2 linked regions of the Arabidopsis thaliana genome follow. The protein of the gene in region 1 interacts with the protein of each later gene in a pairwise test. Each region holds a gene or a part of one and is shown on either strand. Other genes may lie near its edges.

The links.
Region 2: the proteins of HSFC1 (region 1) and IAA18 interact in binary tests that used the Arabidopsis thaliana proteins (3 or more experiments, as listed by UniProt).

The regions. Positions count from the first base shown.
Region 1 is NC_003074.8:8,939,432-8,943,403, reverse strand, and holds HSFC1 (heat shock transcription factor C1), read right to left. Parts: upstream 2,339-3,972; 5' UTR 1,950-2,338; coding exon 1,722-1,949; intron 1,693-1,721; exon of another isoform or gene 1,638-1,692; coding exon 873-1,637; 3' UTR 530-872; downstream 1-529. UniProt on the Arabidopsis thaliana protein: Transcriptional regulator that specifically binds DNA sequence 5'-AGAAnnTTCT-3' known as heat shock promoter elements (HSE).
Region 2 is NC_003070.9:19,303,345-19,308,066, reverse strand, and holds IAA18 (indole-3-acetic acid inducible 18), read right to left. Parts: upstream 2,987-4,722; 5' UTR 2,398-2,986; coding exon 2,126-2,397; intron 1,850-2,125; coding exon 1,554-1,849; intron 1,471-1,553; coding exon 1,338-1,470; intron 1,135-1,337; coding exon 1,067-1,134; intron 972-1,066; coding exon 937-971; 3' UTR 549-936; downstream 1-548. UniProt on the Arabidopsis thaliana protein: Aux/IAA proteins are short-lived transcriptional factors that function as repressors of early auxin response genes at low auxin concentrations.

The DNA of each region.
Region 1 (3,972 bases):
TCCTCGTGTGAGAGACATCAGGTGGTCCAATTTAGATTTATCGTTGTTTTATACTCTCTCTCTCTCTAGCCCAATGAGTGTTCGAAACGTTGTTGGCCGACCAAAGTCCCGTGGCTAACTGTCACGTCTCAAAATTTAACAATGTCATGTTATCAATTTTAGATGAAAGTGAAAGTGGAGCGTCGTGTTGATGATACGTTTGAATCTTGAATGGATGTCTCGTTGACTTGTTATCAGTCGACCGACTTGTGTCGCCTTAACCACGTGGGTTATATATAGGCAATGTTTCTTCTACTTTATGATCAGCTTTAAGCATGTGGGTTATATAAGCTAGTAAGTCTATATACCATGTCAACTGATTCGTTAATGTGTTTGAGAACAAGTGTTTCAAGAGAAAGAGTCAAATACTCGATATGGTTTAGTTTAAAGATGGCCATTAACGATAAATTTGAAATGGTATATAGACTTAATTACTAGCTTAAAGTGGAAAAAGTAAAGCCTATATTTTGTTGTTATTACAAAGATATAAGGCTACAATAATACTTTATTCAAAAATCAAAACACTGAAGTAGTGAAGAAGATCAAAATTGTTGTTATTACAAGTGTGAATATATTACACAAGTCACCTGAAAGTACTTTTAAAAGGAAAACAAAGTCAACATATGAACTTTTAACAAATATAATCAGAAATTATATACTGTCAAAACTTTCTACAAACGATGACTACTGACTCAACTATGGATCTGTCCTTATTTTCTTTCTTTCTTTTGGTTATACATAAAATAATTAAGAACAAACACACAAAAAATAAATAATAATAATAATATAACAATAATAAAGTCTAAAGATCATATATCATGTGAAGCTAAACGCTAAAAGCCACCTCGAAACAGAGAAAATGGATAAGGCGGTGTTGTTGGTGGATTTGACTCTACCACTCCTCCAAACGTCGCCGTTTCTTTATACCTTCTTTCTCCCTGAATACTCCCACATCCTCCTCCTCCTCCTCCGTTAACACTCTCCGGCAAAGAAAACGTCGACGTCAAAGATGATGACGTCGACGACGTTGAATTCGAGAGCATCGACTTCGCCACCAAACCCGTCTCGTAACTACCAAACTGTCCTTGCGTCATAGGAACAATCCACCCATCCGGTGAATGATTCCGGTAAAGATTCTCCGTTGATGACGGCGACGGTGTTGATGATGACATAACCCTAAAGACCCTCCCTTCATCTTCTTCCACTTCTTCTTCCTCTGACTTCACCGTCGACATCGTGACACGACGCTTCTTCTTGTCGGAAACTTGTTGTTGTTGCTTTGTCCGTTCTTTCTCGAGCATCATTCTTGGAAGAAGATCAGGATCTTCAACGACTTTGTAAAGAAACGCCATCATCTGCTCCGGTCTCTTCTCCGTCGCTTCGATCCTCCGGTTCATCCTCTGAATCTCTGCCTCTAGCTCCCTCTGCTCTTCTTTTAACCGTTCGATCTCCCTCACAATCTCACCGTCCTCCAAATCTTGACCGTACATCCCCCGCGCGTGTTTCCTACGCGCTATGTTATTCAACAAATGCTTCTGTCCCCTTAGAAAATGCTCGTTCGCAAACTCCCACCGGTCCGGATCCACTTTCCTAAACCCCTAAAGTAAATAAAGAAAGGATCATTAGTTCGTAATCCCCTGTTTCCAGTTTCATGTATGAGTTTCGGTTATGAATTAACTTACATAGGTGTTGAGTTGACGAACAAAACTGCTGAAATTGTTGTGTTTGAAATAAGCAGGTAAGATTCGTTGCGAGAAGTCGAGTGGATCAACGACTATGAAACTGTTGTGAGCAGGTCCCCAAGTGATGAGCCAATCGGTGGAAGGATCATTGACCATCTGATATGTTTTCACGATGAAAGGTGCGATCACGTTGTTGTTGTTGTTGTTGTTACTATTGTCGTCCTCCATCTCTCTCTTTCTCTGTTTTCCTTATGGTTTATATGTTTGTTGTTGGTGGTGGTAAAGAAATTAAAGAGGAGCCTGGAGGGTTTATATAAAGATAGGAAAATGAGATGTGAAAATAGTAAGTTAAGTGTAGTTGACAGTGAGACTATATTGACGTGGCTTGCTTTTTGTGATAACGTGGCGGGTTCGTGTTTTGCCTTTTACGGTGTCACGAGTGAACTGTGGGACCTATGCAGGTGTGCCTCTAAGCTTTCAGGTCTTTTTTGCCCTTTTTGTTTTGTTTATATTTTCTTATGTCACAAGTTATGTGATACATTTGAAATATATGCATATTTAGGCATTGTTTTTTCTTAATTATAATTTTAAGTCATAGATGATTTAAGCTGCTTGACTAATTCTAAGGGTAAGCTAGTCCCAATATAGAAAGCTTAGTCCATCGATTTTTCAACTGGTTTCCGATCCCGAATTAGAAGGATATCTATGATTCATTTGTAATTTCTGCACAAACAAAATTATTTGTCATGATTTCTTTCTAATTCTTGACATGATTTGTTTCTTTCACTTTTTCACAAAAGAACCTCGTCCTCTTCAAAATACTCCAAAACTCTCAAGAGTGAGAGCAACTTATAAAAAAAAAACACATTTGGTGAAACAAACAAATCTTCTACAATGAATAGAGAGGGTATAATTTAATTTATTATATTATAATTTTTCTTTAGTTTACAATTATGTTAAAAAACGTTAGAAGGAACATGCTGTGTATTCAGATTTTAACTTAAAATATCCGACTAATTTAAAATAAAAAATTGCAAACAATAACACTAAATGCCAAGTAAACATGATTTTATAGACAAACTCTTCAATCTGCAAAAGCACTCCTATTTTCTTATACATACATATCCATGGACTCTGGAATAAATAGCCACACAAGTGTTGCTACTTGCAAGAGTTATTATAGGAGTATTATTAAACAATGATTAACATAAACTACTACAAATATAATTGCTAGGTTAAGAATTAAAACCAATAAGTTCCAATAAAAAATCACACGCATCAAAGGCATTACTATTTTATAGTTTAAACCACCACCGAGAAATCCAATAGCAATCTTATATAAAATTTTCCTAATTATTAATTGGATAGATTAATGGGATTAATCTAGACTTAATTAAGGGGACGTGGGTCAAATGCTAACCACATATTACGTATGATATAATAATATAAATAGTTTGAATAAAACAACATTTATAGAATCAAAGCATGGTCCTTAATCCTTGAGAGCCTTGGAGATAATGACCTCCTCGTATAGGCGAGAGTACAGTTCTCCACTTTTCATTTTTTTAATTGTTGTCTCCTCTCTTTGTTTTTCTTAAACTATAATTTACCTTTTCAATCGAATCTTAATTACAACTTTATTTGAACAATATATATATTACTCTCATCGCCAAATGGGATTAGCTATAATCCACAAGCTATAGCTTTTGTTTGTTTAATTACGTACTATCAGTAGTACAATTTCAAAACCTAAGGACAATTTTGATTTTTATGGGATACTTGAAATTATTAGTCAAGATTGATAGGTTTAATTACTTACTACGACAAAATTTTCCAAACTAATATATGTTTTTATTAAAATTAGCGCTTTGTCAACCTACAATTAAATTTATCTATTTCGATTATTATCAGTTACATAAATTGAGAGGACGATAAAAAAGTATTTTGAGACATCTCTTCCCCACCTTATAATTTTTGTTGTCCATAGCGAAATAAAGGAGAACAAGAGATAGTGTAACAGTGAGACGGTGACGTGGTATGCTTTGTAATAACGTGGCAAATTCGTGTTTGCTTTTTACATGCAGGTGCCACAAAGCCTTAGGTCAATTAGCTTTTCTTAGATGGCAAGTTATTAGTCCGAGCCGTTGTGTATTTGTGTGAGATGTTTTCAAGAGACGACGAGCGTGTGGGTGCTTGGATACTGACATGGTCCGCACTGGTTAGTGACGGAGGAACTCAGGAACAAGTACTG
Region 2 (4,722 bases), on another chromosome or scaffold:
CTTCAAAAGAATATAGAATGAACATTTTCGAAGGCAAAAGGAAAAAAGTAACTATAAGGTCTCATATTGCTGCTTCGAATAGTTAGGCAAGACTCTCAACGAAAAAGACTTCTCTTCAATTTTTCTATTTTGTACTCTCTTTATCAATATTCCATACCCACCAATTTTTTCTTCCTTTTTTCCTTTTAAACGATTTGATCGTATGAATACATATGCTTATGAACAACCCTTTATTTTATATATCTATTCTACGAAACACAAAAGCTAAACTAGAAACATAAATTTAGAGATGATTATACATAGAAACTATATCATATCAAGTATTATCAAATATGTAGATCAATAATCAGAAGATGATAATCTAATGATGTCTGTAATTTTGTTGCCCAAGAGTCCAGACAAAGATGAAAGATGTGGTTAGACAATGGTTTGAATATCTGTCCTAACAGCTCATTTAAAGAAAAGTTGTTCAATGTTTTAAAACCTTTCACTCTCATAGTTCATTACAATAGCGGATACCCTAAGTATAGATTTAATAAAAGCTAAAGAGCTTTTTGGCAGAGAAAAAGATTGTTTCTTTTCTCCGTTTTTCGAAAAGGATGCTTTGCTGACATAGGGAGAGTTACATTACTTAAAAGTGTTGATCAAGTGTGAATAATCATTACCAAAACTTAAAAACAGAAGACTATTATAATATGCCTAAAAGGGTTTGTAAATTTACTCAAGACCCCAAAATCATCATTGCACTGTTTGGTCTTTGAGTTCCAACAAAACTCTATGATATCTCAAAAGCCAAAAGAAGATGTAACAAACCAGAATGTACATCAGACTTATATCAGAAACTTTTCCAAGACCAAAAACTCATCAAAGTTTAAAGGCAAAATGCAATTAATAACATCTCTCTACTTCTTTAAAAGCTGTAAAAGATCTTTTTCTTCATCTTCTCATTTTCTCTTGCTTACCATTTCCATCTGCAAATTTCAAAACAACAAAAAAACATTCTAAGAACTTCACTTAAAAGAGTCACCAAAACAACTAAAAAATGTTATTAAAATCCTACACTTACATGTTAATGCTGAAGAAATCTCAGAAGTTTTAATCACACGCAGCCTCTTCACCGAAGACACAAACATTCTGACAATTTAAGAAATAATCAATTTTAGTGATCAAAAAGTCCACAATCTTTAATAGCTTAACCAAACTAAGTTTGTTATTAATCAAACTGTGATTAAGATATAATAAATATGTGACTAGGAATCTAATACTTCTCCTTTAGATAGAACAAAAAGCTGACTCAGATTCAGAAAAAAACGAAAAAGAAAAGAAAAGATTCTTACTGCCATGGAACATCTCCTACAAGCATCTTGTCTCCTTCATTGTCTTCATATGTAAGAGTATATTCTCCATTCCCATCTAATAATCCAGTGATTGGTTTTTCATCTTCTATGGATGATGGAAAGTCTCTTTGAGCTGATAAAATAAGAACAATTAGAGTTCAAAATTCAACCCTTTTTTAACCATAATCAATAGAGAGACAAAGGTTTCAAATTTACCTGCAAGAAGACCTCTGAAGAGCTTGTCAACTGTGAAAGATAACTGCTCATAGCTATTATGAGCACTGAGATCAACTTTACGACCAATGGGAACACCATACATGTTGATCTTCACAAACATGCCTCCTTGTCTCTTTGGTTCTGTTGTCTTAGCAGCAGCATCACACTTTTGGTTCTTGAGGGTAACACCATTGGAGGTGGTTGAGTCATTTCCAAGCTTTGAAGAACTTCCACTAGCTAAATTCTTCCTGAAGGATCGAACCGGAGGCCATCCCACCACTGGACCAGGAGCAGTTCTTTAAAACACAAAGGCATCAAAACAAAACTTGTTAGTAAGACAAGAACAATCTCAAGGTTAAAAACAGAGGAAAACTAGGGCAGTAAAAAGACTGAAACTTTCAGATGGGAAAAGGGTAAAAAGATGAAAAGTTTTGAGATCCAATCTTAAGCAGACAAGAACAAAGTTTATGCAGATAGATGGGACCTTATTGGCTAATAACAAGTGAATATCATCATGTGAGAAGGATACAAAACAGAGAAAAACAAAAAGTAAGAGATGAGAAGTTTAAAACCTTTTATGGGATGTGGTTTTGGTGGAAGAAGGAGAGAAGTATTTGCCAGCGAGAGAGAGGATAGATTTGTCTTTTGGTTCTTTCTTCATGTGTCTTATCATCGATTCATCATCATCTTCTTCACCAGGTGGTCCAAGCTTTAGCTCAAGCTTCTTCTCCTCTGTTTTGAAAACAGAGTTTTTCTCATCGTGAAACCAATTTCTTCTCTCTTGTGGAATCATCAAGTCAAGCAGCTTCGGAGAGATTTCACCGTTTCTTGAATAACCCTCCATTAGGATTTTTTTTAGAGGAACTACAGAAGAATCTTGCGTTCTTTGACCAAAAGAAGAAGAATTTCGACAAGAAAACACTTCAAAAAGAAAATCTGTCTAGAAGTTGACAACTTGTTCACGCAAAAGAACAAAATTTTATAAACCCATTAGTTAAAATCTCTCTGCTACACTATCCAAAACTCTTGAAGCAACTTAGAAAACAAAAGAGAGGAGATGGAAATGGAATGAGAAGCTAGAGAGGTGATTAAGTGGGACTTTTATACAAATCAAAAGCTTTCGCCTTTTGAAGGGAAAAATGTTAAAACTTTATGGTGGGTTCTTATCTTTTTTCCCACTTTGTGTTCTCTCTCTCTCTCTATCTCTAGATTCTTGAAGGAGAAGAAGTTGGATTTTATACCAAGGAAATGCAGTGAATAGGTTAAAACCAAAGGAAGAAAAATAAGGGGTAAAATTGGAAATTATTAGAAGTTAGTAAATTTGGAGACCAAAAAATAAAAATAAAGGGATTTATTGGTGTGAAACACACGCAATCAATCTTTTTATCTCTCTCTCTGCCCTTAAAGGAAGTTTAGTGGAGGAAGCAAAGCATGCTATTTTGTTTTCTATCTTATTATTCCAATCCCATAGGCCTTTTTTCACCTTTTTATTTAAAACATATTTTCTTTTGACCAATTAAAAAAAATACATACAACAGAAAAACATAAACAAACAATTACTTTGTACAAGTAAAACTTGTGGTGTTGTGTGGTTGACCCAAACAAAACGAGAAGTGTAACTTGAGAATTTGTTATGTTTTTATAATACTAGTAGTGTCACAAAATATGGATATAGGACTAAACAAATATTTAGACCAAAAAAGGAGGACTAAACAATGTTTTTGTAGAGACTTTACACTTTTACAAAATTATTGGGAAAATGTAGAAAAAGCATATTTATATTACGCGAAGTAAAAATCACACCCAATTAAATTAATAAATAGTAGTATATAATTAAAATATGGTTGCCATAAAAAGAAATGGAGGATTCGACGATCTTTCTCTGGTATGTTAGGATCACACCCCTATCGACTCTGTCCTACTCCTATGGGACTTACACATATTCCAATGTTTGGGAAAGTTCAAATGAATTTGGAGATTTTACGAGAAACCCTTCTTTTTCTCTCTCTCAGTCTCTATTGAGTCTCTATTGGGTGATTTAGCTGAATAACCATATTTGACAAACAAATTAAAAATATAGTACCATATATATAAAAATTAAGAAAATAGCATGTAAGGATAAGGAAAAGACAATTTTAGTGTTGAATTGGAGGTAAAATGATTTAGTAACATTTAGTTTAGTTTTTCACCTATTTGTTTTTTTTTTGTTATATATCTTTTCCAAAAAATAAATTCCAATTATAAAATTTATTAGAAAAAACCTATATTTTTTCTACATACAAAATAGTTTGAATTTTTAAAATCGGATTTGAATTTATAAAATAGTAAATAGTGTTTGTAAGTAAAAACATGTACTATTTTGGATAGAAATAAAATGTTGTACTATACTATTTTGGATGTATAGAAAAACTATACCCTAAGATACAACCTTGGCAACTCAAGCAACCAGATAACATAAGTGGTATCTGAAAAATCTATTTTGTCCTTCTCGTTTGTTTGTTATGTGATACAAAAAAAGAAAAAAAAAAAAGATTGAGAGAAGAAAGAAAAAGAGATGAGAGGTGAAGAGAGAAGGAGGGACTTAGAATGAGGTGGAGAAAAATGGGTAAATATACCATTATTATATATAATATAGAGAGTATATCTGTTTTTTTGTTTTGTGTTACTTTCTTAATTTATAAGTTTTTGTTAGTTATTCTTGCAAATTTTCTTCCTTTATTTCGTTTTGTCGTTATTATTTTATAAATTATTACTATTGGCTTTAATTACCATTTACCATCCCATCATATATTTAAACCCAAATGATACGAGGAATTTTTTGTCATCTTATACTTTAGATCGATAGAATTCAGTAAGCTCCAATATAAACTCTCTTTTTTTTTAATCAGGTTAGTTTATTCTGCGTTTTTTTCAAATCAGTCACTAAACAAATAAAATTATTGATTTTAGATTCGAGTTTTGTGTCTACCTTTACATGCAAATAAAAAACACAAGAATTATTGTGTTGCTTTAAATGAACTTAATCACAAGAAGCGTATGTTACCAAAAAAAAAAACTCAATCTTATTTAAAAGAGTAAGCTTTTGCCACACCAAAAAAAAAAGAGTAAGCTTTTGAAAATAATGAACCATCGGACATGGTTCTTCCACGTGTGAGACCGATATGACGGA